Linked DNA regions of Mus musculus: regions 1, 2, 3, 4, 6 and 7 are each reported to be linked to region 5. The links are microRNA targets in miRTarBase. Many come from high-throughput screens and were not tested one by one. Region 5 holds a microRNA gene; each other region holds the end of a gene's coding sequence.

Region 1 (4,206 bases), not on the chromosome of region 5:
ATTAGAAAAGAAGAAGAAGAACAACACATTGAAGAGCTGGAAGGGTGGCAAGGAAGAGGCTGCTGGGGATGGGCCTGTGTCTGAGAAGCCCCCGTCTGAGTCTGTTGGCAATGGCGGGAGCAAGTATAGCCAGGAGGTGATGCAAAGCCTGAGCACTATGAGGATCGCAATGCAAGGGGAGGGCAAGTACATTTTTGTTGGAACCCTGAAGATGGGCCACCGGCACCAGTATCAGGAGGAGATGATCCAGCGTTACCTTGCAGATGCTGAGGAAAGATTCCTGGCAGAGCAGAAGCAGAAGGAGGTTGAGAGGAAGATCATGAATGGAGGGTTAGTTAGTGGGCCTCCTCCAGCCAAAAAGCCAGAGCCGGACGGTGGGGAGGACCAGCCCAGTGACTCCCCCGCAGAGCCCAAGGCGATGGCCTTCTCTACTGCTTACCCTGGGGGCTTTACTATCCCTCGGCCTTCTGGGGGTGGAGTCCACTGCCAGGAACCCCGGAGGCAATTGGCAGGGGGGCCATGTGTAGGGGGCTTACCATCATATGCCACCTTTCCCAGACAGTATCCTGGGCGACCGTACCCCCACCAGGACAACATCCCAGCTCTGGAGCCAGGCAAAGATGGAGTTCACAGGGGTGCCTTGTTACCACCCCAGTTCCGTGTGGCTGATTCCTATAGCAATGGCTACAGAGAGCCCCCAGAGCCAGATGGATGGGCTGGAGCTCCACGGGGACTTCCCCCAACCCAGACCAAATGCAAACAACCGAACTGCAGCTTCTATGGACACCCTGAGACAAACAACTTGTGCTCTTGCTGTTACAGGGAAGAACTGAGGCGGAGGGAGCGGGAACCTGGTGGGGAACTGCTGGCACACAGGTTCTGAGTGGCTGGAACCTTAGTGGGGACAGGGGCTAAACAAAGAAAGTTAAGCTCAACTCTGGCTCATCAGGACCCAGCCCCTGTGTTGATGGGGCAAGTGCAGAGAGGGGTGTGGGGGCTGGAGTGCTGGCAGTCTGGTGGGAGCAGGGCTGGGCTAGCTAGCACTACCCCAGGGCAGTACTGCTCCTGCGCACACAGTTGACTTGAGACTTCAAGGCAGAAGGGGGAAGCTCATAACCTCTTCTGTCCCAATCCCAGGGCCCAAGGGAAAGTAGGGAAATACTAGGTGTGTGTGGGTGGGAGGTGGGTGGACACCTTCGGGGAGGAACCTGGAAAGAAAGTTCTCAAGTCAGTTAAGGAAAAAATAGACCAAAGTTCATTGACTTTAGAAAAAAAGCACATGGTGGTGTAGTTGGGAGTATTGAGTCGATCTGAGATACTGAACAAATTTGATTTTGGTTTGAATTAGGTAGATATTAGGGTTGAATAAATTCTCCCTGAAGGATCAAGGCAGTAATGTATGTGCTTGGCCTGGTTACACAGAAAGGGTGGTTTAAATCCCAGTGAATGGAAATAGGAAGGAGGAACTTAAAGGGGAGTCTTTCCTAGAGAGTTTTATGTTCTTCTAGATACTCATCTGCCATCCATTCTAGTTTTAGGGGAGACTGCCTGTTGCCCTACCTTTTCCTCATCCTTTTTAAGGATTGAGCTCAGCTAAGTTAAGATGTGATTTTTTTTTTAAATATTTTTTTTTAAAGCAAGTTCCCTTTGGGAAAGAGAAGAGTGGTAAGAAGCAACCTTGTATATGGGGTTTCTTCAGGTGAACGGGTGCAGAGTGATCTATTTTTTAACTACTTAGCAATAACTACATGTGGGTTTGAGTGCACCTGAGAAGGGGTGGAGGAGCCCAGATGTTTGGCTAGACTGTTTGAAACAATACCAAAAACCTCTATAGAGCACTATCCTCTGCTGCTGTGTTTCTGTAGAAAGCAACCTATTTTACTAATTTTTTAAAGAAAGACAGGACCCTGACAGAGAACATTTAAAAGTTACTGACTCCTGCCCCTACCTAAGTGGGTTTCTCCTTCCTGTCACTTCTGGAGAGTGAACTTAACACCCTGGCTTCTTTTGTTAAGCCGTGGCTGACCTTAATCTGTGGTTAGTTTATTAAAATAATAAAAAATACTTTGTAAGAAAAATTATTTTTGATATTAGGGCTGGTGTTGAAGCATGGGATGGGGGCTAGGGGCCACTTTGAAAGGTAGCTAGAGAACTCTATTTTAGTGAGCTGTCGCCATGGGCCGCACGGTCCCAGTGATCTGACCTGCCTTTGGATATCTCCCTTTTCCTGAGCCAGCCCTGTTCTCCAGAGGGGTAGGGCTGGACCCAGTGGTGAGAGCTCCCTTGCAATTTGCACAAAGCACAAGTCTGGACAGCTTCTGCTCTGACCAGAGCTATTTCTAAGAGCTTTAAACCTGAAGGCTATCCTGCGCCAATTGTCCCTTCTCCTTATTTTTTTTCCTGGGGAAAAATCATCTATGCAATTCTATACAAATGAATTCTGTGTTCATTTGTGGATGCAAATGAAGAAGGGGTGAGTGCACTGCACGTGTCCAGAGTTACCTGGGGCTGTTTCTGGGCTCCAATTTCTCTGCTGAGGTATGTCATCACCCACTAATGGAATGTTATCCCCGAATTTGATTTAAGTCACAAATGGCTAGATGTGCATGTTTGTGCGTGTGTGAGATGGGACTCCAGTGCATGTTTCCTCTGCCTAGTCAGAAAAATGATCAAACACCTCTCTTTGGTAACAAAGCTAGTCAAGACTTCTTTATGGAATTATTAAGTTTAAGAAGTTGTCCCCCACCCCCTCAAAAAGTTTGAAAGTCATTCACTTCCAAGTCTGCCAATCTGTTGATTTCATAATTTCCCATCATTATTTTTTGACTATTTTTTGTTTGTATCTTTGCTATGTAGCCCTGGCTAGCCAGTCTGGTACTTGCTATATAACCCAGGTTAGCCTCCAACTCATAGCAACCCTCCTGCCTCAGTCTTCTGAGTGCTGATACCTAGGCATGAACCACCACACCCAGCTTTCTACAGGCTGAAACCTAGTATGAGATAAGCATTTCTGGCAGGTGCATAATTTAAAGATCTACTAGGAAATTGAGGGTTATTTTTGTTTTGTTTTTAGATAGGATCCTATCCTGTAGCCCAGGCTGTCCTTGAATGTATATGATCTTGCTTCAAATTTGCCAAGTTCTGGGATCACATCATACCAGACATTTTTTAAAATTTCAATATATAAGCATTAAAAACCCAGATTGAACAAAACATCAAAATCTTAGGATGTATCAGGAATGGTATTAAGGTGAAAGAGGTAAGAGCCCTTAATTGAACAAATATGAGGACAAATCCTGTCTACTTAAATTGTGATATGTTCATAAAGATGTTTTTACATTTAAAAATTTTTATTTTCTTTAAATACTGTATCAAGACAGTACTTATCTTGATTCGTGAGTTTTAAGCACTCCTTCAGTTTTCTCCCAGTGAGTGGTAGGTGAATGCCTCGTGCCTTGCTAGCATCACCTCAGACTTGTCCCAGTTTCTGAAGCTTGAATAATGCAGGTGAAACCTTCACCGTGAGCCCCTCTTCCTGGCTGCAGTCACCCTGTGTGCACTTCTGTCATCCTTCTCCCACAACATACATAGGATGCCTACCTGCCTGGGTGGGAATGCAAACAGCCCAGCAGGGGTTTTCCTGTAGAATAAAACCAGGGAATTCCATTTCCTTTGGGCTGCTGTGTTTGGACTTGGTCTGTTATTAGATTGTATAAACTGAGGACAAATGAAGAGAATCAGAAAACTTGTATCATGTTGTTTTTATTTATATAGTACCCAATCTTAGTTCTGCTTGCCTTTCTGAAGAGAAAATAAAAAAGTTCCAGGGAAAGGGAAGAGAGGTCTAAGGTCATATGGGAAATGGGTATTGGGTCTTTTAACTTTTTGTTAAATTAGTTTTAATTTGGAGGGTGACTATTAAGGCATCAATTTTAAAGATGAGGGACTCTGAGACATTATTATTTTTTTAATGAGGGCTTGTGAGATTTTCATTCTGTGTTTTTTAGGGTGGAGGAGGGGTTGAGTAGGGGTGGAGTTAAGGAACGTCTGGGAAACAAAACAAAGATCAACTTGTTCAGAATAAGCAAGCCCATGCAGATACTGTGGTGGGGAGAAGGGAGGGTTGTGTGGGGAGCATCCACGTGAGTAAACCTTCCTTATTTACGAGGGTCCTGTGTGTGATGGGGGTGGGGGTCCTAGACGAGG
Region 2 (4,163 bases), not on the chromosome of region 5:
TCAGACACTAGAAGGTTGGACACACAGAAGCACCCTGATGGTCATGGGGGGTCCCAGCTCCCTCTGCTGGGCATCCCATAACTGGTGAGAGCCCCCAGCCTTGCTGATGGGGTTCCACAAACCTCAACTTGCCTTCTGTGGCGTTTCTTGACTTGTAATCATGGGCAGCCCTTTCTGTGGTTGTTTGAATCTCATTCCTGCCGTTCTCTTGGTTCCTGCAAGCATTTGGTTCCCCTCGCTTCTCTGTGTGTTTAGTGCCCATCCCAGTACTGCAGTGTGGTAGCAGACACCCAACAAATGCTTGAGGAATGAGTCCCTACAGCTCCACCCTCAGCAACTTGCCCTTCACCATCTTTTAAACTCTTACTGACTTTAAACTACTCAGGTCCCAGCAACTCACCCAGGGGCAGGGCTGGGCGAATCCTGTACCTCTGTGTCCCTCAGTCCCACCTTTCCTTGCTCCTTAGCTTTTTCATCTTTTCCTCCCAAGACTGAGGCTGGCATCACTCCCAGGGCCTTGCTGTATTTGACTGTTACAAACCAAGTACTATTCACTTCTGACGGCTTCTATATTTCCTTCAAGTTTCACATTAATAAATAATAGCAACAATAAAAAGGAGCTAACATTTCTTAGCACGTACCATCATACAGATGTTACATTTATTAATACGATTGGGCATTTGTAACATTTTCATGGGATAGAAAGATTCATATACTTCTTACAGATGATGGACGGCTCTGATGTCAACCTGCCTAGGTCACGTTGTGTGTGTCTGTGTGTGTGTGTCTGTGTGTGTGTGTGGGGGGGGGAGGAAGAGGGAAAGAGAAGAGAGAGAAGAGAGAGAGAGAGAGAGAGAGAGAGAGAGAGAGAGAGAGAGAGAGAGAGAGGATGTTTTTTGCTCCACACCCGGCCTGGGCTCTGTGTAGGCTGCGCTTCCTACTACACTACACTACCCCAGGTCTTACTCAGCACCTGGCCTCAGCAGGAAAGGGCCTGCCTCTCCCCTCTTCCCCACTGGCTTCTCTTTTAAATCATTGACTGGGGAGAGCTAATCTGCCCCAGAGTGTGTAATTAACGGAAGACTAGACAGACTGAGAACTCCATCCCCCCCTACTCCTTATCTGCCTGTAGGGAAGCTGGACCCCTCCTGGGGTGCTCTCTCTTCCTCTGCCAAGACCCTGCTTCCCTCACTACTTTGTTCTGAGGTTCTAGGGTCTGAATACATCCCAGCTCTCTAGACAAAATACCAGTTGGCTCTATCAGCTGGCAGGAATGCAGTGACTCTTGCAGGCCCCTCCCCTCATTATTTCTGAGTCCTGGGAAACCCTGCAGGTACCCAGGCTAAGAGGGGGGCTAGGGTGGACAGACTGAGGGCATGAAAACGGGTAATGTAAGTGGTGTGTGGATAATGGAATAGGCTTAGAGTACGTGCATGTACTCTGGCTGACAGTGGCAGGAGACTGTGGGAAGACAGGGGAAGACATTCATACCCCCATAAAGAAAGAAATCATGCAGGCTTCAGTGGGCTGGACGGAGCTGGAAGAGCACTTGAGCACCTCTAGCCTTAGGCTCCAGTCCACCCTGCAGATCCTGGCCTCGCTCTGAGTGGATCTCCACAGTCAGCATTGTGTGGGGTGGGACAATGGAAAAATTACCCAGGAGACAGGAGCCACAGACCTCTCACTGATCCAGAGGGCCACCCTCCCAAGAGTAGGAAGCAGGCTTGGGACCTGTGAACTCTCAGCAAGGGAATGGCAACCATGCCCACATCCCTTCTCCTGTACCCCTATGCCCACACCACTGACGACAGCACTGGAAGATGACTGGGGAGCTCCTGCCCACCCCCTCCCTGGAGCATGGGGGCTACTGAGGATCCACGTTGTGGGTGCACCCCCCTCACGGTGAGTATGTACTGCAGGACTCTGGGCACCGAATGCAAGGGGTAGAGAGGCAGTCTTGAGAACCTGTCTGCCAGGGGTTGGTGAAGGGACCCAGGAGGAGCCAGAAACACCAGACTGAGGTGGCCACACTTGACAACCCTTGTACATGCCCATGTTACTAGGCCTTCCTGGTCCCTCCCAGTGAAGGGCACTCTAAGTTAGGATTCACAGATATTTCAGAAAGCTCTTCTAGGCAGCACCTATGGTTACTCTGGGAGGACTGCATCTGTTATACCCTGCCCGCTTCTGTTTGTTGGTCCAAAGGGACCTGCATCTCTCCCTGTGAGGGTGTCCTCCCCTGCACTCTCACCCTGCCACCACTGGTTAAAACAGACCCAGGGTGCATACACTCACTTCCTCCAGCCCATTCCATTACCCAGGATCATGGATGTCCCTTTTCATTTCCATATCCTGACACGCACAAGTCTTCCTTTGACTCCAGAGACTTCAGACCTCTTCCGGACTCTTGATATGCATCTCCCAAGCCTCTCCAGGCTGTCTATAGACAGGGGTTTCCAGCCTCTGGCTCTAGTGCTGGATGGGAACTGTGGCCAACTTACTAAACATCTCCCTCTTCTCCTGGCTGGGTTACTGAGTTGAAATAAGATGTGGATGTAAAATTGGCTTTGGCTCCAAGACTGGGTGCACTCAGTGCTTAGTGAAGGAAGAGGAGCCATACTGAGACCCTGGGGAGTGATTAACCCTCTAGCTCTCCCTCAGGGACTCTACAGAACACCACGCAGACTCCAGAGCCTGTCCCCCAGCCCCAGAAACAAGGAACTTCTGAGAACTCTATTAGATGCTCAAAGCAATGGGGCTGAACTACAGGAGAAATCGGGCCTGGATAGCCTCGCTGTAGTTTCCCACTGACCCCCAGGAAGTTGTGAAGGTCTAGCAGCCCCCTAGTTCCCTCACTGACATGAGGAAATCAAGGAAACCTGCTTTGGGAGGAAGAACGAGCAGGGGCAAGAGTCATCTTATTGCCTTTATTTTGCTGTCTGCCCAGCTGGCCCCACTACAGGGCACAGGGCCAAGCTTGTACACACTCATGCTCTCTGTGCAGGCAAGCATGTGCACAACACACACATACATACCCCCACCCCCGTCTTTCACACACACACACACACACACACACACACACACACACACACACACACAGTCTCTGGCTCTCTGAGTCAGTCTCTGGGAGGCACAGGCTGCTTCTCAGCCTGCTCCTGCCTGCCCTTTTATGACAGCACCAAGGGTAGGCAGGGCCCTCAGCCCCCATCAAGTCCCTGTGCAAACTGGAGGTACCAGCTGGCTTCAGGATGGGGCACCATATCTCCCCATCCCCAGAGTCTCCTCCTCCACTTCCTGGGGGAGGGAGTACTCTCTGCTTACCTGGTGGGGTCAGACCCCTGCCAGGGCTGGGGCCTGAAGAACCCAGGCTTATCCCCACCTGACCCTACCAGGACGTCCATTACTGAAGCGCAGCCCAATCTGAGTTGTGAAGACTCCCCACTGGAGAGCAGGCAGGCCTGGGCCCCAAGGCATCTGGGGAGGGGACATCACCCCCTCTTCTAATCCATCTTCAATATGAAGAGGTTTGGGGCACACTTCCTGGGAGGGAGCACAGGCCTGGAGAAGTCACAGCTAGGGTCCTCCCCCAAACTTCCATCTTCTGGGCCACAGCCAGAGGCCAGGCATCCAAAAGTCCAGCTGGCTGGTCAGAATCCTTGTGCAGTCCTGGGGGGGCACCCCCCCCTCGTTGGAGCTGAGTGTCAGACCTGCACAGGCAGGGTCTGGTTCATCTGCAGCCGCATGTCCTGGATACTGCAGAGGATCTTCTTCTGGTGCCCAGCCAAAGTGACCCCAATCCTTAGCAGATCTCTAGAGACAGAAAAAAATGGTACTCAGTCCCTCCCTTCTACCCGCGACGCTGGGCTCAGCCAGAGTTCCTGCCCAGAGCCTGCACCTTGAGCGGTACACTTACTCTGCAGTCATCTGGGCCACCAGGTCAAAGGATGCAAACCCAGCACCGACAAAGCTCTCTTTATACCTCCCCATCTTGATGGCATCTAGCCAGTCACCCACTGTCGTGAAGGTCGTATAATCTGGGACTGTGCGGTCCAGGAGGGGCTGGGACATGCTGTGACAAAAAAAAAAGAGTGACCTGGTGCATCCATGGAGCTAGGGAGTAGGGTTAGGGTTGCCAGCCTGTGGGAGCCAGGATACTAACCCAG
Region 3 (4,206 bases), not on the chromosome of region 5:
CCGGGAACGGGAAGGCGCTCAAAATCACCTTGTTGACCACGTTACCGCCCGCGCTCAGCGCGTACCATAGTAGACACAGCACCGCCACCCGCGCACCCTCGCGCGCCCCGCCGCCGCCACCCGCGCCCGGGACCCCTGCGCCCGCGCCGGGACCCGCGGTTGCCGCCGCCGCCATCCTGCCCGAGCGGCCGCCCCTTCCCGCCGGACGACCGCCGGACGCGGGCAGGGGGCGGGACAGCCCTGGAGGGCGCGCCGGCAGACGCCGCTCACCATTGGCCCCTGGCCCTTGCGTCATCGCCGCTCGCCATTGGCCACCGCCCCATACGTCATCGTCGCGCGTCCGCCGACGCGCCCGTACACGTCGTCGGCGAGGGCCCTACCCTCACTTAAACGCTTTCCGGGAGGGGGCGGGGCTAAGCCCGGAAGGCGGGCCGTAGGGCCCGCGGGTGGGTTAAGCGCGTTACGTTCTCTCCGGTGACTGGCAGGACTCCGTGGGAGGTGCCGGGCGACGCGGGCCCGCCCACTTGAGGCTGTGGAAGCCGCGTGCCTGGGGCGTAGACAGGGCTTAGATCTTTTAGAAGAAAAGAAACCGATTGCGGTAAATCCTCTGGACTACGCCGGGTCCTCGGAAGCTGTGCGGTAGGTGTCAATTTCCCCTCACAGACCAACCGAGAGAAATCCAGGGTTAAGTGTCTCCTGCGACAGTGTCTTAAGAGCTCAGCTGACCGGTACGATGCTGGGCAAAACCACGAAGGCAGGACTAGACTTACAAAACTCGATTCCCAAGATCGTGTGCTTTTAAGTGAGGGAGAATAGTTGTTCGCGCTCCTTAAAATGTGTTCATTTATGGAGGCGGGCACGAGCGTGTGTATACACATATTGAGGTCAGACGAGTTGAGTCTTTTGTCTCTTTTCTACCATGTGCATCCAGGAAAAGAAACTAACTCTGGCAGCAAGCGTTTATTTGCTGAGCCATCTCGCCAACCTCAATATTCTCCTTTACAGCGTCTCCTTGAATGCCAGGGTGTCTTTCTACCTCACCTATGTTTTGGTTTGCTTTTCTCTGTGTAACAGATTCCTGGCTGTCATGGACTCGATTTGTAGATTAGGCTAGCTTCGAACTCAGAGATTTGCCTGCCTCCGCCTCCTGAGCACCATGCGTAGCTACTCACCCGTTCTTCAAGGTAGACTGTGTTGTACCCTGGGGTTTGCTGGATACTCATCACACATGTGGCAGTCCTTGTGGATCTGAGTAGAAAATGGCCTGGTCCCTCCCAAAGCAGGAGTTTAAGAATATGGTGATAGGACGCTGGGCTTTGTACCCTAAGGCCTTTGTCACAAACTAAATACAAGAGGAATTAGGATCTTTGGACAGAGCAGTGTCAGATGGCCCCACTGATGTGTTTTGGTTGCTTTTATTTCATATTGGATTTGGCCCTGGCAACTCTGGAAGCTTTTTCATTTCACAACAGGTACATGTACTCAGGGCAACCCAGCTGTGGTTTCACCTCCTCAAATGGCCCTGTAATGGGGAGTGGGGCCATTCTGCAACAAACCTCAGAAATTCCTACTGGCTCTGAAACGGGTTCTGGGTTGGCTTTGGTACCAACCAGACCAGGAGGTATGTTCTAAGACTTAAACCATGAAGCTGCTGTTTTATGAATAACTGTTATCTTTGAAATTAAGAAGATATGGATGAGTGAAAAAAAAATACTAGACACCTAATCTTGGCTTAATTGTGTATGTGGGAGAGAGGGGGTAGATCATTACTATATAACGAAGGTGACATCTTAGTGGACACCTGTCAGGTATGGAGGCAGCCTTGGGTCTGCCTGCAGCTGCTAGCCCAGGGCTAGGGCCAGAAAATAGTTATGTACATCTGGGCCATGCAATCTCCCTGATGGGCAGGGAAGGTGTACACCATGTCACTAAGAGGCTCCTCTAGGTGGGTGACCAAGGGGATGTTGTTGACCATGAATCAATGAAAAGCAGATAGAGAGGCCCTGCCTGCCGCTACAAAATAAAGCTAAAGGGATGTCACCAAGGCTGGCATAGTAGGTATGGATGTGGGCTCCAGGCACTTACCCCTGTAGGAAAGGCCAGATTTAGCTATACATGTGCAAATGAGAAATGATTCCAAAACTGGTTTGTGCAAATATTTTTTTTATTTCCACATTTATATCACAAGTTGTCCACTTACTGGACCAAATAGCAAAGTTGCTCCCTTCTGCGCGAACACAGAAGTCTAGGTACTGTACATTCACTAAGGCTCCTTGTTTTTGCAAATCGCGTTTATGACCATAAGGCAAACGAATCTAAAGGAATGGTTATGAGTGTTTCCAGCCAACAGACGGCTCTTCCCTAGCCCACCAGGGCAACTCACACCAGTAGCACCCTCGGGAACTTTGTGGGTTAAAGACTCTAGAAAGATGGCATTTTTCTAGAGTTGTGCAGAAAAGGAAAGAAGGGAAGGAAAAGTCATTTGGCTGGTGGTAGGGGAAAAAAGAGAATGAAATAAATGAGAAAACTCAAGTTTCTGCAGCATTTCTTTTAAGAACTGGGACTGAACTGAAACCATATACAAATGGGCAGACGACTGTGCAGTGTGGGTGAGGCTGGCCCACCCACACAACACCAGGGTTCACCACAGCAGAGAAGCTTCCAGCGCACAACACGAGGGCGACAAAAAAAACCACTGGCTCGAGAGTAGCCTGTGCCTCAGAGACACCAGGGCCAAAGAGCAAGAGATGCAAAGAAGAGATGTGTCTGTTGCTGTTAAGGTAACCTCTTCCACAGGGTTCCTGTGCCTGCCTGCTACTGAGGTCCCTGCCTTCGGTGCTTAGAGTGGTTCTGCACCTCTTCTGGGATGGGGGACTAACGCTTTATAGCTGGCTTACTATAGATTTCAGCCATCTATCTGCCCCTCCCCCGAGCGGCCCTTCCTTTGCAATCGTTAGTAAACTGGTAGCAGCATTTCACAAAAGGATGGTGGAGAGCGAGCCTCATGCTCGCCTTCTCAGCTGGCCAGCCTAACCCTTGCGAGGTGGGAATGCACATGATGGCCAGGTCAGGTGCTCAGTCCAAGCAGACATAAGGCAGAATGTTCAAGCGCCCATCGTCACCATGAGGGTCGAGCGATATACACTGTGTCCAGTCATACCAATTACCCTGTGTGTCTTCACACCCGTTAACCCCTGGCCATTGCTGGGCCTGGATTCTGTCCAGATCATCCTGCGTGACCTCACGTGTGAGCCCTGGTAGGTCAGTGGGTGTGGGCAGTGGTAGCAGCACATGGGGCTGCCGGGCCCCTTGCCGACTGCTCTCCTCCTGCTTCAGGTATTCAGCCATAAAGTGGTGCGCACCTGGGGTCTGTGCGCCTGAGGAGGATAGCAAGCTGCTCTGGCGGCTCAGGTAGGACTGTATGATCTCATTTCGTGATAGCTCCTTCCAGTTCGTCTGCTCAAAAGGGCTCTGGAGGCTGGCCTTGACCTCCTGCTGCTCCAGCTCTGTCCTAGGCAGCTGCTCTGTGGGTACTGGGCTGTCAGCCCGCACCGGCTCTTTCTGGGTCAGAGGCCTGATCTGTCTTGTCATGGGGTCAAAGGTGAGCTTCCGCTCTTTTAACCGCACAGGTTTAACACCAGCCTCAGCCACCTGCCCGTCCAAGTTCACTGTGTAGTCTCGAGGTCGGTACCTCTTTTTCTTTTTGCTGTCCGAGCCACCCGAAGAGGTAGCATCACTGTCCGCCTTGGAGGAATCTGGAGAAAATCCAGCCCTGCAGGCTGGCCCCGTTAGCCGTGGGTGGCCCTCAGACTGCTCTGGCCAGTGCACAGGGCTCTCAGCATTAGGCAGCAGCTCCTGACGGCGCACAGGGGGCGTGGGTGGCTGGGCCAGCGGGAGTGGGGATGGTACCTGCGTGTTGTCCGGTGGCTGGGGCCATGGGGAAGGGCTGGACACCTGGCCCTTGGGTATGTAAGAGCTCCGATGCCGTGAAAAGGAGCCTTCGTGCCGTGAGTTCCGGGGGCTGAAGGAGCAGCGAGAGGACCCCCTGGGATAGGGAGGGCCTGGGGACTCATCTGCCCTGTCCAACTGCTGCAACTGTGCAGCCTTGGTCTGCAGGCAGGGAACTGGGGGTTTGCCCAAGCCGGGAGAGCTGGGGCGCGGCCGCACGGCGTTCACGGGAATCTTGGTGCTGTGCTTCTCATTATC
Region 4 (4,206 bases), not on the chromosome of region 5:
CCACCACCACCACACACACACACACACACACACACACACACACACACACAGAGTCAAAAAAACCACCACCAACAAAACCAAAACTGGAAACTGAATTTAGTCTGACTGGAAGAACATCAAGTTCTCTTAACTACTGAACACTCCAAGTCTGAGAGTAGCTATTTAAAGCTTATTTTCACTTTTGCAGAGAGAGGGATTAAACCCGGGCTTTATTCATACCAGGCACACCACTAACTAAACCATACCCTACCCCATATTTTATTGCTCTTAATTTGAGGCAGGGTCTGGCTAAAATGCTCAAGGTGGTCTTAAACTTTTGATCTTAGTCGCTTGAATAGGATTAAAATCTCAAGAATGCTGAGATTACCTGCATGTGTGACCATGCCTCAGAGTTATATAGTACATTACTCCTGACTATTACTAAGGCTTAGGCTCCTTAATTCTAAGATGTAACTTTTCTACGTTTCAATATTTCCAAAATCAGAAAATCTAAAAACTAGTATAGACAATTACTGAAGTGTTGCACCTTTTCCCTAGGGAAATCGAGGACAAAATCAATGGTGAATTTCTTGTGTTGAGTGGGCTAGGCCTAAACACAGGTTCCAGCCACCCCCCCTCATCAGCCTCTAGAATAGCCACATTGTAGGTATGTTCCATGACACCTAACTGGATGACCTATTTTATAACTGATAGTATCTTAAAATTAAGGAATATGGGGTTACAAATGATGACTGGCCATCAGGACCCAACTCTTCAGTGGTCATGGTCCCTCCGATATCTGAGTTCTAGAGAACCCAATAGATACCATGGCTAGGTAGACACAGGAAAGTCTGGAAGTGTCCCTATCCAGGCTGAAAACAGAGAGGGGAACACAGCAATGCCCAGCTCTTGTCTCAGACTTGCCCCTCCTATCATCACAGTCATCTGTGTACAGTGACAAGATGGAACTGGGACTGAAGCTCAGGGCTAGAACGATTGTCCAGCACACACTCACACACACACACACACACACACACACACATAAGCCTGGGTTTACCAAACAGAAATCAAACAAGTAGACACAAAACAGAGGGAGATAAGAGTGTCTTAAAGCTTAAGTCTCAGGGCTTAACCAACTTTTAAATGTGTATGTGTGTGTGTATGTGTGTCTATATATATATATGTGTGTGTGTGTGTATATACATATAGTTGTGTATGTATATATATACACACATAAATATGTGTATTTTGTATATGTGTGTATATTTATATGTGCATATTTATATATAGACAAGATATAGATAGATAGATAGATAGATAGATAGATAGATAGATAGATAGATAGATAGATAGAAAAATAAAATGTATTTGGGGGTATACACGCGAATGTGTGTGTGCATCTGCAAGCAGGGGAAGATGTGCCACAAATATTTATGTGAGTCGGCTCTTCCCACCTTGCCTCGATTTGGGGTCTCTCCTATTTCTTAAACCCTAGGCTAAGTAGCGCATGAGCTACCAGCAATTCTTCTGTCTCTACCTCCCGTAGGCGGACTGGATTACACATCTGGCTTTCTACATGGTTGGGGAAGGAACACAGATCAGCAGGGTTGCATGCCAAGCCCTTGCACCCAACGAACTTATCTTTTGATGCCACCTGATGTCGACCACTATCAATTTGATCTGCTCCATGCTTAAACATCCCGCATCACACATCCAACTGTCCTGGATTACAGGGAGTAGATAGAGAACTCACGGGGCTCCAGCTACCAAGCCAGGAGGCTTCACAAGGAGTTCCAGAGCTGCTGTTTAGGAAAAGACAAGTCATTATGCAAATTAGTCCATTTGCAACCATTCAGTCTTAAAGAGATAAAGCCAGGTAGCGGGCAGAGAAAAGGAGCCATGAACTGCTTCTTCTACGATATGGAACTACTCTCTTCAGTGCTAGGCACCTGGGTCAAAAGCTGGGTTATACAGCTTGCTCACCACAGAGAACCGAGATCACAAAGCAAAGCTGACATATATGCCATACTGAAGACACAGAGGCTTAGAGAGGAGATCTGACAAAGGCCACCCAGCCAGGAAGTGCTCCTCAGTACAGGAATGAGGGAGTTAATCACCACCCTGCCTTATGTGACCAACGCCTTTCACAAAGGGGTAAACCTACAGCAGGCATGAGGACCCTAAAATACCAGTGCAATCACCATCCTAGACATCCATCCAACATGAGTGATCCCGCACCAACAGAAGACAAGTGAGGTGGGGAAAGGTCGTGCCCCCAAGTCTGTCAACTCAGGCCAATCCCACAGTCGGGAACATACTCTCACAAGCTGTCCCCGACTCGCACATGAGTGCTGTGGCATGCATGGGTACACACAGGCACACGTACAACTACTGATTGTAAAATGTTAAAAAAAAAAAGGAATAACAACTGAAAAAAGTACTGAAAAATAAAGATTTAATAATAAAACAATTACAATCCTTTTATCTTTACAGCGTTTCAATAACAATTTCCCCCACCATCTCTAGATCCAATCCATAAATATTATGTATGATACTTTTTGTTAAAAGAGTCTTAGTGCGTCCAACTTTTTTTTGTTTTGTTTTTGTTTTTACGAGACAGGGTTTCTCTGTGTAGTCCTGGCTGTCCTGGAACTCACTCTGTAGACCAGGCTGACCTCAAACTCAGAAATCGACCTGCCTCTTCCACCCAAGTGCTGGGATTAAAGGCGTGCGCCACCACTGGCCGGCTGTGCCCAACTTTTGACACTGCAACACGACATCATCTACAATGTTCCTACTCAAGGTCTGTGAGAACAAGTCATGACCAAAATCTCACAAAAAGCCTCACAATGTATTAAGTGTGCTTATGATTGGCCACATTCATAGCTATCCTGGGGCACATGTGGCCGATGGGCTATGGACCAGATGTGCTTTAATGTATGACTTGGTCATTTAACAAGAGTTTCATACCTAAAGTGAAACAAAAGCTCAACGCACACGAGGTAAGCAGGTAAGCGGTAGACTTTCATTTGCATTTCTATCCGGTATCGAAGTAAACAGGTACTGAACATCCGTCAGTTTCTCAGTCAAAAGAGGCCAAAATAAACACTGGTGAGGCGTTAAAGGGTGGAAAAGCGTGGAGAGAGAGCCAGGCAACCTGCTGCCTACAGAAGGCTCCCCGGTCTGCAGAGGCAGCTGAAGGGACATAGCCAGCAAATGCCACCTGCCCATTACCAGGCTTAGGAAGGGGCACACCTTTGAAAGCAGCTGGATTTAAGTCCATGTGGCACGCGGAGAAAATGGCATCAAAGGTTGGACTATAAATCTTGCTTATTCTCAAGTCACTGGACATTTAGGAGTGAGGATATTGATGGCCCCTTCCCTCCTCTTCCTTCTTCTTGGAGCAGATGTGTGATTCATGGATTGTCCTTTAGTGCCTCCCTTCTTATCTTATTACGTTTTCTTTGCTTCTGCTTTCTGACAGCTCTGAAAAGCAAGGTGCTAAATTATTTTATGGAATGAGCACAGTGAATTATGTAATTATGCTGAAGTTTAATTAACTGGCTATCCAAATAGGAAAATAGAAGACATGAAAGAATTTACTGTGGGGCTAGCATAAATCCCCAGTGTCCTAACCATGACAACAAGGAAAGAGATGGGCCTGATCACACAAAAGACATTTCCGAAGACATTTCTTTAAAAGATGGTTACTACATTTAGAACAAGCTATTCGGGACAGACACGCCACACGAGTGAGCAGCCACCCCAATGGGCTTGTCTCTTTGCTACATTTATACTGCTCAACTCAGCACTTCCATTTCCAAGTCCCTGAATTACATTTTTTTTTTTTAAGAAAGGGATTAATACATGCGGCAGTCAGCAGGGGCAGAGAAATGAAACTGCACAACAAGTAAAGGAAAACTGACCACATTGCAGAGGCCCTTTCCTAAAGCCTCGAAGCTAATCTCCCTTCCCCTCGCAGGTGTAAAAGTGCCAGCTAGCACCTCAAGGGATGCCTGACTTCTGTGTCCCAAGCTTCCTGAAAGCAAGCTGTTCTAAAGGAACAGGCTGGAACAGTCAGGCCCCGCTGCAACCTGCCACGGCGGACAGAACAGATCCTCTGCTCTGCTGCTCTCACCACCAAGATGCTGCTGCCCGTGATGGCGAGAGTCCTGACTACTTACTCACTTCTCCACACTAGCAGAACCATGCCACTTGCCCTATCGA
Region 5 (4,206 bases):
GTGTTAGGCCCCATTTCTATGAACCCCCCTCCCCTGAAGCCAACTGGGAGTGGAGATCTCTGACTAAGGAGAGATTCTGAGGTTGCATTCACCCTTAAGAGCTTGTTACATGATCACATCCTTGTCTTTAGCACTTAGTAAGCACAAGCATTTATGTGTGCTGGATGGTGTGTGTGTGTGTGTGTGTGTGTGTGTGTGTGTGTGTGTGCATATTGCAGAGTGGAACTGTGTACAGCCTCTGTGATTTTGACCTGACATGGAAGGTATATATCCCCAGATGCCACCCCTCCATCCCTAGGTAGGGCAACCTTCAGATCTGCTCTTCCAGGTCTCAGGTTGAGGGCCTGGCCTAGCCCTTCTCCTGCTTACTAAGGCATGGGAGCTGTGCTTCATCCCAGAACCCTGGGGACTTTTGGCCTCACAGGCTGAGTCCCACCTGGTTTCAGGGTCCCCAAAGGTCCACAGAGCAGGGCAGTGGCTGACAGCTGGTAGAAGAACAGAAGGAATTGTATTCTGATTCAAGGGTGCTTGGGGGAGTCAAGAGAAAAGGGAGTCAGAGATGGGAGGTGCACACGGAATGCCCCTCCCACCACTCCCCTACCTGGTACCCTCTGCTCCTACCACACTGCTTCCTCCTGCCCAGGGCACCTGCCTTTCACAGGGACTGCAGGTCCTGGGAAGCAACATGTTATTAAGCACCCAACCTCAAGAAAGGGCTGGGTTGGTGCCCAGACAGCTGGGAGCTGCAAGCCTAGGTCCTGCCACTTGATCTGCATCCATTGATTGATTCCCTTCCTTCTAGAGTAGGGAGGGCTAAGCAGAGATTATCCACCCGCAAGCAGGCTACAGGCACAACAAGGTACAGGGCCCAGCAGGGCCTTCTATTTGCTCTGCTCCGGGCCATGGTCTGCTGGGCTGAGGTGATATGCCACATCTCTCTCTTTGAGTGGTGGGGTTTAAGGGTTTTTCTGTTAGAGGAGGAATCATGGGGGGCACTGTAGAGGATGACCCATCTCTGACTTCAGCAGTGAGTGGGGAAACAGCTATGGGGATGGAGGCTGCAGGTATCAGGATGGGGCCATCCTGGGCTCAGCTGGGACAGAGGCACTCTGTGTGTGTAGGCCAAAGGTTTTAGGTGGAAATATTGAGGACCAGGCTGCACAACAGAGCACTGGCAAGAGAGAGGTGGGCACAGCCTTACTGGCCCCTCCCATGGTTTCTGCTCCTCTGACATCCTTCTCCATCTTAGTGGTCCCAATTGCCACCCCTCACCACATAGACAGAAGAACGAAGCTGAAACAGGAAGAAGTTAATTAAGGACACACACTCAGAAACAGAAACTCGCCCCACTCCACGGCAGGTTCTGGATAAATGGGACCCATGAGACTTTTGGCCAGCTACTATGAGCATACCCCATCCAATGGCCTCCCCTGCAGCCCCCTGGCTCTGCCTGGCCACCTCACCCAGCCAGCCCGGTGACCTGCGCTGTTCCAGTTGCCCCAGCACCGCCCCCGTCCCTCCCTCCCTCCTCGGACAAACACGGGAGTGAAGACACGGAGCCAGAGCCTGGGCACTGGCCTGAGGGCCCCGGGCAGGCTGGGTCAGGCTGCCCAGAAGCCCATGCATTGGCAGACCTGCTTGCTGAGGGTCAAAGATAGAGGAGCTGAGACCCAGCCCAACTGGAACCATAGGTGCTCAACATCAGAACAGCTAAGGCAGGCTCTGCAAAGCTCTCTACACTTCCAGGAAAGCACTGGAGTACATACCCATCGTAGGAACGTCTCTCCGTTCTACCCTACCAGCAGCTTCCTCCTTGCCAGCCCTGAAGGTGGGTGGGAGTGGAGCGGCAGTATTGTTCCCCACTGACCCCGCCCATCTCTCTCAGAGTTGGTTTCATTTTTCCAGATCTTTCCCTCCTGGGTTTTTGGGGGGCACTACCCTCCCCTGGCACTCACAGGTTTTATTTGGGGAAGGGGGTTGTTTGTTAATGGCAGGTTTTCCCCACTTTAGTCCCTTTTCTAAGCCTTGTCCCCAACCCCAAAGCCTCTCAAATTCCAAGACCCCTGCTTCTTGTGACACTTAGCATGGCACCCCATTGCAGCAAACCCATGGGCAGCAACTGCTCATTTACCTCCTCCCAAATCTGGCTGCTTGCACCCCACCCCCGGCCCCCCACTATTCTCCAGAGCAGACAGCAGCTTGTGGCTTCCTACCTTTCAGGGTCACACCCTCCTGCCACCTGCTGACAGCTCCAGCTCCTGCTCCTCCCTCACAGAGGCAGCATCCCTCTTGGTCATCATCCACAGTCACCCCAGGACTTTAGCAGAGTCCAGCATCCTGATGCTACCCACAGACATCTCTGACCTGACCTCCCCTGACACTTCAGGGACCCAATGCCTTGAAACCCTCCACCTTCTGAAGATAATGCAGAGTCATGCTACCCCGCCTCTGGTCCATTCTTCTAGAAGCTTCCTGTGCTCACGGGGGAGATGCAGAGTGGAAAGCCCACTTCCCTCACGGCCCCTAAAACACTCCAGCTGGCACGGCTTGGGGGAGTGTAGGGGCATTCGGAGTATAATCTCTCAGCACCGCAGATAAGGGAGAGGCACAGGCTACACTCCCCTCCCCAGCTGCTGGCTCCTAGAGCAGGCCTTTCTGTTGACTGGTAGGTTAGAAGTAAACCAGCCCTCTGTGCTCCTGGGTTTTCCAGCCCCAGAGGCTGAGAGTCTCCAGGACGTGACAGCCTGGAGCAAATGGCCCAGCTTTCTGGGGGACTACTCACTGCCCAGGCTCCAGGGGCATTTTCCCATTGCTTGCTCCTGTTCCCCAACAAACCTGTCTAGTCCCCGGGGGTCACACCCGAAGGAAGACATTTCAACTCCATCTCTGAAATTGGAAAAGCATCAAGCACAATCCCCTCCCCGCCCCCACCTCACTCCCAATACTTTTCCACCCTCCTGGATGCCTTCATGATTCCCGAGCCCCTGCCTCCGGTTCACCCAAATGGCAACATCACCAAGAAGAACCTCCATCACGAACAGGGACCCCCTAACTGGGGGGCATCGGCTGCTGGCACTTCTATGGACTCGATGGGAGGGGTCATCTCCGGGCAGGCAAGGGCTCCTGCCAGCTGCCTCTCCAGCATCAGGCCAGGCCCTGGGCGAACAAAGCCTGGGCGACACCTGCAGCTCCGACCGACCGCTGCCTCCTCTGCAACGGGGATGGTTCTGTACAGCTGGAGCCGGTAAGATAAGCCGGAGCTGCAGATGCAGGCGCCTGCTCTGGCGCCGCAGTGAGGAGGGGGCGCTGGTGCAGTGGGCGCGGCTGGTGCGGAGAGCTGAGTGCTGCGGCAGGCAGAGGGGGGCATTTGGAGGGGGGCTGCGGAAAGCGGGAGATGGAGGGAGAGGAGAGAGGGCGATGTGATTGGCGGGGAAGGGGCTTGCCGCAGTGGGCGCGGCGGCAGAAAAAGGAGGGAGAAAAGCGAGCGCCATGGCTGTGGCGGCGGGGGCGGGGTGAAAGGGGGGATGGGTTCAGTAGAGGAAGGGGGACTTACTGCGGAAAGGGGGCTGCGGCAGCCTGAGGGGTGCAGGGGGAGGGATGGGGTAGAGAGGAATATCTAGGATGGTGCAGCACAACTTTAGGGAGATGGGGATGGGATGGAGGTGGGAGCTGAGAGACATGAGTGGACATCAGGGCTGATGACCAAGCTCTTGATGGGAAGGGGATGAGACAGAGATAGGCTGTAGTGGGGGTACAGCTGCGAGAGAATGGAACTGAAGATGAGAGGTGAATGCATGGAGGAGGGGGGATGCAGACAGGAATGGTGATAGAGATGGTGCCTAGCAGACGTAGCCTGGTAGCTTAGCGGACACCCTCCTGGCCTTAGAACCCCCTTCTCCATGGCCGCTCCAATAGTGTCCCCAGCTGTGGATGCACTCCGGATAGCAAGGGCGATTCCAGCGCCAGTGAAGTGGTCTGGCAATTGCAGAGCAGCAGAACTCAGCAGGAAAGGCCAAGATGAGGCTAGGGGTCTCGGCGTGGTGTGGTGGATCCCACAACCTAGGGCAGCAGGGCAGTGGCAGTCTCACTGATGCACAAGGCTGAAGGCAGCTTCCTGGGACGCACCTCCTCCCGCAACCTTCACTGGCACATTCAGCACCGCCCCCCCCCACCCCCCGTGTCCCTGGAAACAGTAGGCAGCTGCGG
Region 6 (4,206 bases), not on the chromosome of region 5:
TGGCCCCGTGGCCGGCATCCTGGACACAGAGACTCTGGAGAAGGTGTCCATCACGGAGGCCATGCACCGCAACCTGGTAGACAACATCACCGGCCAGCGGCTGCTGGAGGCCCAAGCCTGCACCGGGGGCATCATTGACCCCAGCACTGGTGAGCGCTTCCCGGTCACTGAAGCTGTCAACAAGGGCCTGGTGGACAAGATCATGGTAGACCGTATCAATCTGGCCCAGAAGGCCTTCTGTGGGTTTGAGGACCCACGCACCAAGACCAAGATGTCAGCTGCCCAGGCCCTGAAGAAGGGCTGGCTGTACTATGAGGCAGGCCAGCGTTTCCTGGAGGTGCAGTACCTGACCGGTGGTCTGATCGAGCCTGACACGCCCGGCCGTGTGTCTCTCGACGAAGCTCTGCAACGTGGCACTGTGGATGCCCGCACAGCCCAGAAGCTGCGTGATGTCAGTGCTTACTCCAAGTACCTCACGTGCCCCAAGACCAAGCTCAAGATCTCCTACAAGGACGCTCTGGACCGTAGCATGGTGGAGGAGGGCACGGGGCTGAGGCTGCTGGAGGCTGCGGCACAGTCCAGCAAGGGCTACTACAGCCCGTACAGCGTCAGTGGCTCTGGCTCGACCGCCGGCTCACGCACTGGTTCACGCACCGGCTCCAGGGCCGGCTCCCGGCGTGGCAGCTTTGATGCCACTGGCTCTGGCTTCTCCATGACCTTTTCTTCTTCCTCCTACTCTTCCTCAGGCTATGGCCGCCGCTATGCCTCAGGGCCTTCAGCCTCTCTTGGGGGCCCTGAGTCTGCAGTGGCCTGATCCCCTCAGCCTGCATCCTGCCTTCCCGCTCTGCATGTGGCCGGGCTCCCTGTGGAGGCACTGGGGTCTTCTTTTTTTTTTTCTTTTTTTTTCCTTTTTAACATTTAAAGGTGTCTTCCTCCCAAGCGGTGCCTAAAATCTAACCAAAAAGACCAGACTAACACATTAATATATGTATGCGATGTCCAGACAGCCTGTGTCTTGGGGAACAGGGCTGGCCCAGGCCCAGTGACCACTTCAATCTCCTGGGTTCTCCCTAAATCCTTTCTACCTGCCACTCACCACAGCCAGGTGCCTTGGAGAATCCAGAGCTGGGCATTCAGCCTATACCACTCCTGTCTCTCCTGGGAGGATTCTATCTGGGAAAGGCCCCCAGACCTCTAAGCCAACCCCACTGGATGTCTACCTGCTGGTCCTAGCTGCTGAGGGGAACTGGGGACAGTCGTGTGAGCAGACAGCTCTTGAGGCCTCTGTCCTGAGCCAGCTGCTTCTCCCCAGTCTATCTCTGAATGTCCTGTATATTCAGTGGGTTTTGCTGGCCAAGGGAAGATCCCAGGCCAACCATCTCTTCCAGCCTACCCAGAGAAGCCCCTTCCCCATGGGAAGATAAGGCCTGGTCCTGGCCCCAGCCTCCCGCCTGGCTCCTGCAGCTGCCATTGGAGCTATGCTTTGTAGCTCAACACCCCATACTTATTCCCCTGAGACCTGAGCCTCTGCTTCAGCCTTCCAGCCTCAGCTCCCCTTGTAAGTGCCTTCTGTGTCCTTGTACCCAGGCCCTAAAGACCCAGACCCAGGGTAGGAGATGGACATTCTGGCTGGGCGGGGCTGGAGGGTTCTGCAGATCTGAGACTTCTCCTGCTCCAGAGGCCCAGGGACTCTTCAAGCCTGTGGAACCCCTCTCTGGGTGCTGCTGCCCACCTCACTCCCAGGGAGCCCTGGCCCCTCCATGGCCCAGAGACACCGGCTGGCCCATCTATGCTAACAGAAGCATTTGGCCAGTGACACTCTCCCTTCCTTCCTGTCCAGCCAGTCCCGGGCCTTGGTGGCTCCTCCCCTGCCTCCACCCTCTGAGTGAGCTTTGCATGTTCCACTAACCTTGAGCTGGTGGCAGGTGGAGATGCCAGGCAGAACACTAACCTGACCATGGGCGGGGCCCTGCGGTGTCCGCCCCTCAATAAAAGCAATTCCAACCTTCACCTGGGTCTTGCCTTGTGCTTTGTTCCTAGATCATCTGTGTATCCGTGAGAGGGTAGAAGCTGTGGTTCCCGGCTCCGGGCCCTGGCTCACCAGATGGGTACTGGCCAGAGTAGATACATGAGGCCTTGCAAAGATGTTAGGCCAAGGCTGGGCATCACAACCAGGAAAACCCAAGGGGTGGCTAGAGAGCTAGCAGGCAGAGAAGGCAGAGTGGAGAAGGGAGCAGGCTGCACTGAGGTGGGCCTGCTGTGCCCAGCCTCTCATCTGGGTGATGTCCTGTCACTTGGCACATCCCTATGACAGCCACAGGGTTGGGACTTCTCTGGAGTGAGTGTCCACACACTCCCTGGGGGTTGGGGGAGGGGAGGGTGGGTTGATTCCTCTTGGTTAAGGGCAGCTATTTTAGGAAGGTGGCTTTAGTACTGGCTGCTGCCGGGGACCACCACCACCCACTTCCAGTGTGGTCTGTCTTACATCTCGGGCCCGCTTTCTTTTCAAGTGCAGGTCAGTAGGTCCTGGACTTAAGCTGTGTGGACTTTCAGTGGCTGCAGATTTTCAAAAGACCTGTGAGACATGCAACCTGCTATAACCCCTGGCTCTGAGCACATCACTACTGACGTGCTCCTTTGCCTGTGGGGTACAGACCTCGATCTGCCTACGAAGTGGGGCTCTTCTCTCCCCACTTCGGATGAATGACTAGGGCCACCCTTGCCAGGTGTCAGCAGCCTTACCTGCTGGGTTGACTAGAATGCATTTCTCAGCATATACTCCCTTGGCAAGAATGGCCTGCCTAGCACAGCAGTCCACATTTAAGGAAGCCCCCTTAGGTACTTGCCACGTTGCTGAAGTGCCGTCTGCTAGTTGCAGAAACGCCATTGTAACCATCTGCTTATGTTCCCTTGAGGCCCAGGCCCCTTTGACCTGGATCTCTTTGGACTTTACCACCCTTCCCTCTGTGTGCTGTCATGCTTCAAAATTGCCACTGCATTGCTGTGGGTGGATGGCAGGACATGCAGTCTCCACACGCCTCCACAGGTGGGTCTTACCATCTGGAGGTCAGTAGACATCCCTACTCAAGTCCCCTCCTTGGACTGTGTTTCCAAGGTTACAGGGGGGGGGGGGGCACCTGTTGGAGGCCAGATCCCCAGAGGTGGAGCTTAAAGTAGCAATTTAGGTGTCTGTGACTGGAGGAGGCATCTTGGGAGGGATGAGATGGAAGTGTGGGGCAAGGAGCTGACGAGAATGTGGCCTCTGCTGGAGTCTAGTAATAGCTGGACCCCAGGGTTCTTGGTCTGTCTTATGCAAAGATGGATCTGAGCTGACATCCCTGCCTCAGCCAGCCAGCAGCCACAAGCAAGCTAGCGCTAGGGTGACACATGTAGCTCCCAGGCATCTCCAGATGTAGCTGCACTTGTGAGTCTGGGAGGACGGAAGGTGTGACCGGTAAATAGCCAGGGGTGGACAGGAGGACACACCCTTCCCCGGTGGGATTCAGGTAGGCCATCAACAGCTCCTTCCTTTTTTGAGTGTGGATTGTGTTGTGTGATATATGCTGGTGAGCATGTGGTAGCCTGGCATCCGGTGCCTTCTTTCTCTCACCCTCACATTTGTAAAGCAAGCACTCTTACCCACTGGCCATCTGACCCTAGTGACAGTTGGGAGTGCAGCAGTGTGGCGGCCTGGGGTATCCTGAGCACACATTGAGGAAAATGCCATCTACCTGAAATCTTAAAAGAGGAAGTCCTTGGGAAGAGTAACCGAGAGGGACTTCCCTGTCTGACGACCCCTCTAAAAAGCTGCTCCCTTGGAAAGCCTTAGGTTTTAATAAGCCCAAGTCCTTCCTTGTGACTCCCAAGGACCTGTTAAAATCCAAGGCACATTCCCCACCGAGGACTGGAATCAGACCACCCACTGGCTGCCAGGCTTGGTAAGGGAGCTGGAACACGCTGTTCAGAGGTTAAGTCCACGAGGTCACGTACTGGCTTTGGTGCAGTAGCCAGCATAAATCTTCATCCTGTAACCTGCGGGTCTCGCTCAATCCTGACCAAGGCTATACAGGCTTCTCTGCTAAAACCCGGGCTTTCTGGTACGATCCCGCAATCCAAGATTATCACACACATGAAAGCGTGCATGGCAAACAAGTTGGAAAAGCAGAAATAGAACCCAGAGTTTAGGATACCAGGATTATTCGGTAA
Region 7 (4,206 bases), not on the chromosome of region 5:
CCCCCATACCCTCCCCCCCACTCCCCTACTCCCTTTAGTTGGTTTCTTAACAGCTACAATTTTTATGTGAACCTTTCAATGAAAAAGACATAAAATCACATGGCTGGCTACAGGCTGCCCAATTCCCTTTCCATACATTTCTCTATGTGTCTTTTACCGTTCGCCAAGGAGTATGTTTCCATCAATCATTTTGTTTTTAGATTCATAGTGAGATAGTTCACTCCTTGTAAGTTCTTTGTAGAAGCAAGTTTTTCTCTTGTGAGGCTATTCTTGGGCTTGGCAAACACAGAAGTGGATGCTCACAGTCAGCTATTGGATGGAACATAGGGCCCCCAATGGAGGAGCTAGAGAAAGAACCCGAGGAGCTAAAGGGGTCTGCAACCCTATAGGTGGAACATTATGAACTAACCAGTACCCCGGAGCTCTTGACTCTAGCTGCGTATGTAGCAGAAGATGGCCTAGTCGGCCATCAGTGGAAAGAGAGGCCCATTGGTCTTGAAAACTTTATATGCCCCAGTACAGGCGAACGCCAGGGCCAAGAAGTGGGAGAGTGGGTAGGGGGGTGGGGAGGAGGGTATGGGGGACTTTTGGGATAGCATTGGAAATGTAAATGAAGAAAATACCTAATTAAAAAAAAGGAAAAAAAATAAAACCCTGAATTGACAAAACAACAACAAACCTTTACATAGTGTATAATAGGAGCGCGGGTATGCTGATTACCTCCTATGGCAGGCAGCACATCTGCATTTGGTTGACCTGCTAACAGAGATGTCTTTCAGGTGCTGTGACATGCATGTGGATGAACGAACAGTGTAGCAGTATTATCACCGGAGGGGAAGACAGACAAATTATGTTCTGGAAATTGCAGTATTAAGTGCCTTTTCCTCTCCATCAAGTACAATTCTACTTAATGTATTTTAAACCAGACTTTAAACTGGTGAATGTGCAATGATAGTACTTAGAAGTTTTACCACATGAAGAATGTGTGGTTTCAACTTCCTAAATCATGGTGACTTCATTCAGAGCCATTTGTTGTCATCCATTAAGCAGATATAACATGGCAGTGTTAGGGGAAAGGACAGAGAACTATCAACCATGACAACAGTTTGAAGACTACTGGGTGTTCAGGATAAACCCAGTCGGACTGAGGAACACTGGCCAGCACTGGCCAGCTCAGTCCCCAAGAGGACAGTCTGTATTCAAGCTGCCCAGGTTCTGACGGTAACACGGTTCTTTGATGTGCGGTCATGGACTGGTTCCTTTCGGCAGTGCTGCGTGCCCAGATTCTTAATAACATTAAGTCTGTTACTGTGTATAGCAATGGTTTATATTTCATTATGCTACTAAAGGTTCATCTTTTCTACATTAAAAATATTTTTCTGTAATGAAAGCACTCTTATCTTATTTAAATAACTTAAGAATCACAAGTATTATTCCTTCTACAAAACCATACTTAATGAAACAAACACAATTTCATTTCTTTTGGACCTATATTCAGAACCAAGTCCAGAAAGCAAGGTGGATAATCAAACTGAGAATTATAAATTTCCAACAAGGTAGCCTATATAGAAACTGCAATGATTTTCTTACATTCAGTCTCTGACCAGCAACTACAAGATTACAAATTTTCTGAAGCATGTTATAGAGAAAAGGAAGCATGATATAAACATGTTATAGAGAAAAGGCACCAGACTAAAGTAGTAGAACCTTGAGTTAGTTTTAAGTGTCACTAATACATGTGGATGGTCTCGGGATTCACTGGAGACGCAGCAGCCTTTCCAGGTTCCTTCACTGATGTCAGTGCGCAGGGTGAAGGTAACCACAGGCTGGCCAAGAGGGATGCCCAGCAAGTGTATTTCCAGGCAGTCTCCGCTAAAGCTTCTTAAAGAACCTAGTGTTAGCCTCACAGTAAGGACTGATGCAGGCACAGACAGACGGAAATTTCACATTTTTATACATTTAATAATATCACATAAAATAATAGGATAGGCACAAGCTAAGAAAGAAAAAATCATAAAGTGTCATTGCCATTTTTGTTTATAGGACAGAGTCAGAAAATGGAACAAATTAAGATGACTAGGGAAACATTCTAAAACGACCCCAACCTAGCTAAAGTTACATAATGTTAGGACTCAAATGCCAAATTAGATATTACCCACTAGAGTGAAAAAGAGACTCCAAAATTTATTCTATTTAGTATAACAACTTTTACATGAAATATATAGCAATTTGTTTCTCAGAAAGCAATACGGCAACTCTTAGGCGTTTCCTTTATGCAGTGACTAGAAAATCTTGATACAAGTAGGCAGCTCTGCTTTACCAGTGAGCTGCTCAGGGCTAGCACAGAACAGCTTAATAGAGAGCTAACATCTCAAGTTTCAGAAGGCAGCAATAATTCTATTTTGGCTTTTATTCTAAATGCTTACTGTAGTTAAGGCGACAATTGAAGCATATTAAGTGAAGGTAGTTAAGATTAGTGACAATCATTACAGTCTCTTGCAACCTACACACAACTGTGTAATGCTTTTGTGGAATGAAAACAGTGTTGATTAATTGGAATTTTACACACTCACACAGAGAAAACTTAAAAAAATAACTATCAAAGGCAATCATTCTAAATGTACTATGCTGACGTACTAAAGTCCAAGAATGCCACAGAATTGAAGCACATGACTAGCACTGTGCTTTGTTCTAGGAGAAAGCTGACCAGGTCTCAGACACAGCTAAGCCTATACCAGTCATCCTAATCACAATGGCTTATATAAAAACATCAGGTTCCCAGTAAAGAACCCAGTCTAGGAAAGTCAGTAAATCTTTTGGGAGTCTCACATCTGTAAAACCAGGCTAAGGCTACACCCATCTTAAAATCTGAAGCCAGTATCAGATAGAGCGGGTTCCCAGCTATGAGAGAAGAGAGAAAGGTCTCCATGCAGCATATTCTCCCTGGCTCCGGGAAAGCTTCATGTGCGAAATAGACAAGTTGCCGAAGAGGAAAACTGGAAACATTCAGCCGTGATGCATTGTACAAGGGTTTAAACTTCAGGAATGGTGTGATCCATCAGGCTTTTCATAATGCTGGGAGCCATCCTACAAGAGAGCAACTCATCATGTAACTCACATCTAGTTTCAAGAAGGCCATGGTAATTTAAGACAACCCCAATTCCAGCTTAGCCCTATCCTATTGTCATCGATGAATGATCTCGGATCTAAGGAACTGATAATCAAGTTGTCAGAAACTGTCCAGAAAGAATAGCTATTTACATCAGGGATGGCTGTTAGAGAAGGTGTGCATCCTTTACACTACGACTGGCTCTTTCATTGAAGCAGCAAGGCTGTGACGAGTCAGAAAGGGGCATAAGGAACCTACCAGTAATTTAAAAGAACAAAAGACTGTAAAATAATCAACCCCTTTCCCTACTCCGAGGGTAGCTAGCTGCATTCTACCCAAAACCCAAAAATATAGACAAAAATTGCATTACAAAGGTTATGTTTATGTCTATTCCAAATCTCACTTTCATGTGCTATATCAGGACTTTGGAAGAAGTTTCCAAGGTAGCATGGTAACAGCGATGAAGGAGCATAGGAGCTGAAAGGCTCTGGAATGAATCACCCTTGCCGGCCTTTATCAGCTCTCCTGGACTCTACACTCCTCAGTTCCAATAGATAGATAGCAAGCACCGGGTACCGCTCTACTGGCTAGGATACGGGAAAGAATAGCAACAGCCACTCTTACTACCTCACAGGCAAGCAATCCGTCAGGAACCACCATGACTAGATTTCTAATATGCACAAGACCTGCAAGCTCAAAGCACTGTTCACATTTATATCAGGTGCTGGAGATCATAAAGTTGAAGAGCTATTCACTTACCGTTTAATAATGTGTTCGAAGATAAAAGTAGGCATGATTGTGATGGTAACCACAGTCCCAGCTGTTGACAGTATATCTGCAATCTGAGCATCCTGACGAAACATAATAGAGTTACATTTCACTAGGCCTTATTTCATACACAAAAACTCTTAGGTAAGAAACACACTATATTTTGATGTTGTCTTGCTGATATCTCTGACATCCCAGTCCCTGGTATGTCTAAATTTTAATTTTAATCTTACAGATAAAATTTTCTTAAGCTAGTAACAAAGTTGAAGGTACTGACCAAAAGTCCTTACTTGGGAATGGCTTGTCCCATAGACAGTTAACTGTATTCT

The links. Region 5 holds the annotated microRNA mmu-miR-149-5p (UCUGGCUCCGUGUCUUCACUCCC, at 1,542-1,564, opposite strand). A microRNA usually pairs through its seed, bases 2 to 8, with sites in the 3' UTR of a target mRNA and lowers its output. Matches are read on the target gene's strand: a 7mer-m8 pairs with bases 2 to 8, a 7mer-A1 pairs with bases 2 to 7 and ends in A, and an 8mer does both.
Region 1: miRTarBase lists Otud7b as a target of mmu-miR-149-5p. Seed matches in the 3' UTR shown: 7mer-m8 at 2,230-2,236.
Region 2: miRTarBase lists Ephb3 as a target of mmu-miR-149-5p. Seed matches in the 3' UTR shown: 8mer at 3,103-3,110.
Region 3: the mRNA of Med26 is a reported target of mmu-miR-149-5p. Seed matches in the 3' UTR shown: 7mer-m8 at 2,696-2,702.
Region 4: the mRNA of Zcchc4 is a reported target of mmu-miR-149-5p. The part of its 3' UTR that is shown has no 7-base or 8-base seed match.
Region 6: the mRNA of Plec is a reported target of mmu-miR-149-5p. Seed matches in the 3' UTR shown: 7mer-m8 at 1,292-1,298.
Region 7: the mRNA of Sdcbp is a reported target of mmu-miR-149-5p. Seed matches in the 3' UTR shown: 7mer-m8 at 2,944-2,950.

The regions. Positions count from the first base shown.
Region 1 is chr3:96,155,086-96,159,291 of GRCm38, forward strand. It overlaps Otud7b (OTU domain containing 7B), which reads left to right. Exons shown (of 12, transcript NM_001025614.1): 12 at 1-4,206. The coding sequence ends at 883. Among named protein-coding and RNA genes, the nearest start is that of Mtmr11, 4.8 kb to the right of the region's middle.
Region 2 is chr16:21,222,055-21,226,217 of GRCm38, reverse strand. Ephb3 (Eph receptor B3) reads right to left here. Exons shown (of 16, transcript NM_010143.1): 14 at 4,160-4,163; 15 at 3,914-4,069; 16 at 2,914-3,810. The coding sequence ends at 3,702. Among named protein-coding and RNA genes, the nearest start is that of Ephb3, 19 kb to the right of the region's middle.
Region 3 is chr8:72,492,412-72,496,617 of GRCm38, forward strand. It overlaps Med26 (mediator complex subunit 26), which reads right to left. Exons shown (of 3, transcript NM_027485.4): 3 at 2,147-4,206. The coding sequence ends at 3,076. Slc35e1 (solute carrier family 35, member E1) reads right to left here and starts at 203. Exons shown (of 6, transcript NM_177766.3): 1 at 1-203. The coding sequence starts at 175.
Region 4 is chr5:52,822,877-52,827,082 of GRCm38, reverse strand. It overlaps Zcchc4 (zinc finger, CCHC domain containing 4), which reads right to left. Exons shown (of 13, transcript NM_001308144.1): 13 at 2,418-3,465. The coding sequence ends at 3,396. Among named protein-coding and RNA genes, the nearest start is that of Anapc4, 9.2 kb to the left of the region's middle.
Region 5 is chr1:92,847,739-92,851,944 of GRCm38, reverse strand. Mir149 (microRNA 149) reads right to left here and starts at 1,567; the gene lies at 1,502-1,567. All of the region lies in intron 1 of Gpc1 (glypican 1), which reads right to left. It overlaps Gm29480 (predicted gene 29480), which reads left to right and starts at 3,148. Exons shown (of 4, transcript NR_166170.1): 1 at 3,148-3,244.
Region 6 is chr15:76,168,778-76,172,983 of GRCm38, reverse strand. Plec (plectin) reads left to right here. Exons shown (of 33, transcript NM_001163540.1): 33 at 1-2,010. The coding sequence ends at 814. Among named protein-coding and RNA genes, the nearest start is that of Plec, 35 kb to the left of the region's middle.
Region 7 is chr4:6,393,391-6,397,596 of GRCm38, reverse strand. Sdcbp (syndecan binding protein) reads right to left here. Exons shown (of 9, transcript NM_001098227.1): 8 at 3,869-3,960; 9 at 1,475-3,087. The coding sequence ends at 3,033. It overlaps Nsmaf (neutral sphingomyelinase (N-SMase) activation associated factor), which reads left to right. Exons shown (of 31, transcript NM_010945.2): 31 at 780-1,390. The coding sequence ends at 874. Among named protein-coding and RNA genes, the nearest start is that of Sdcbp, 30 kb to the right of the region's middle.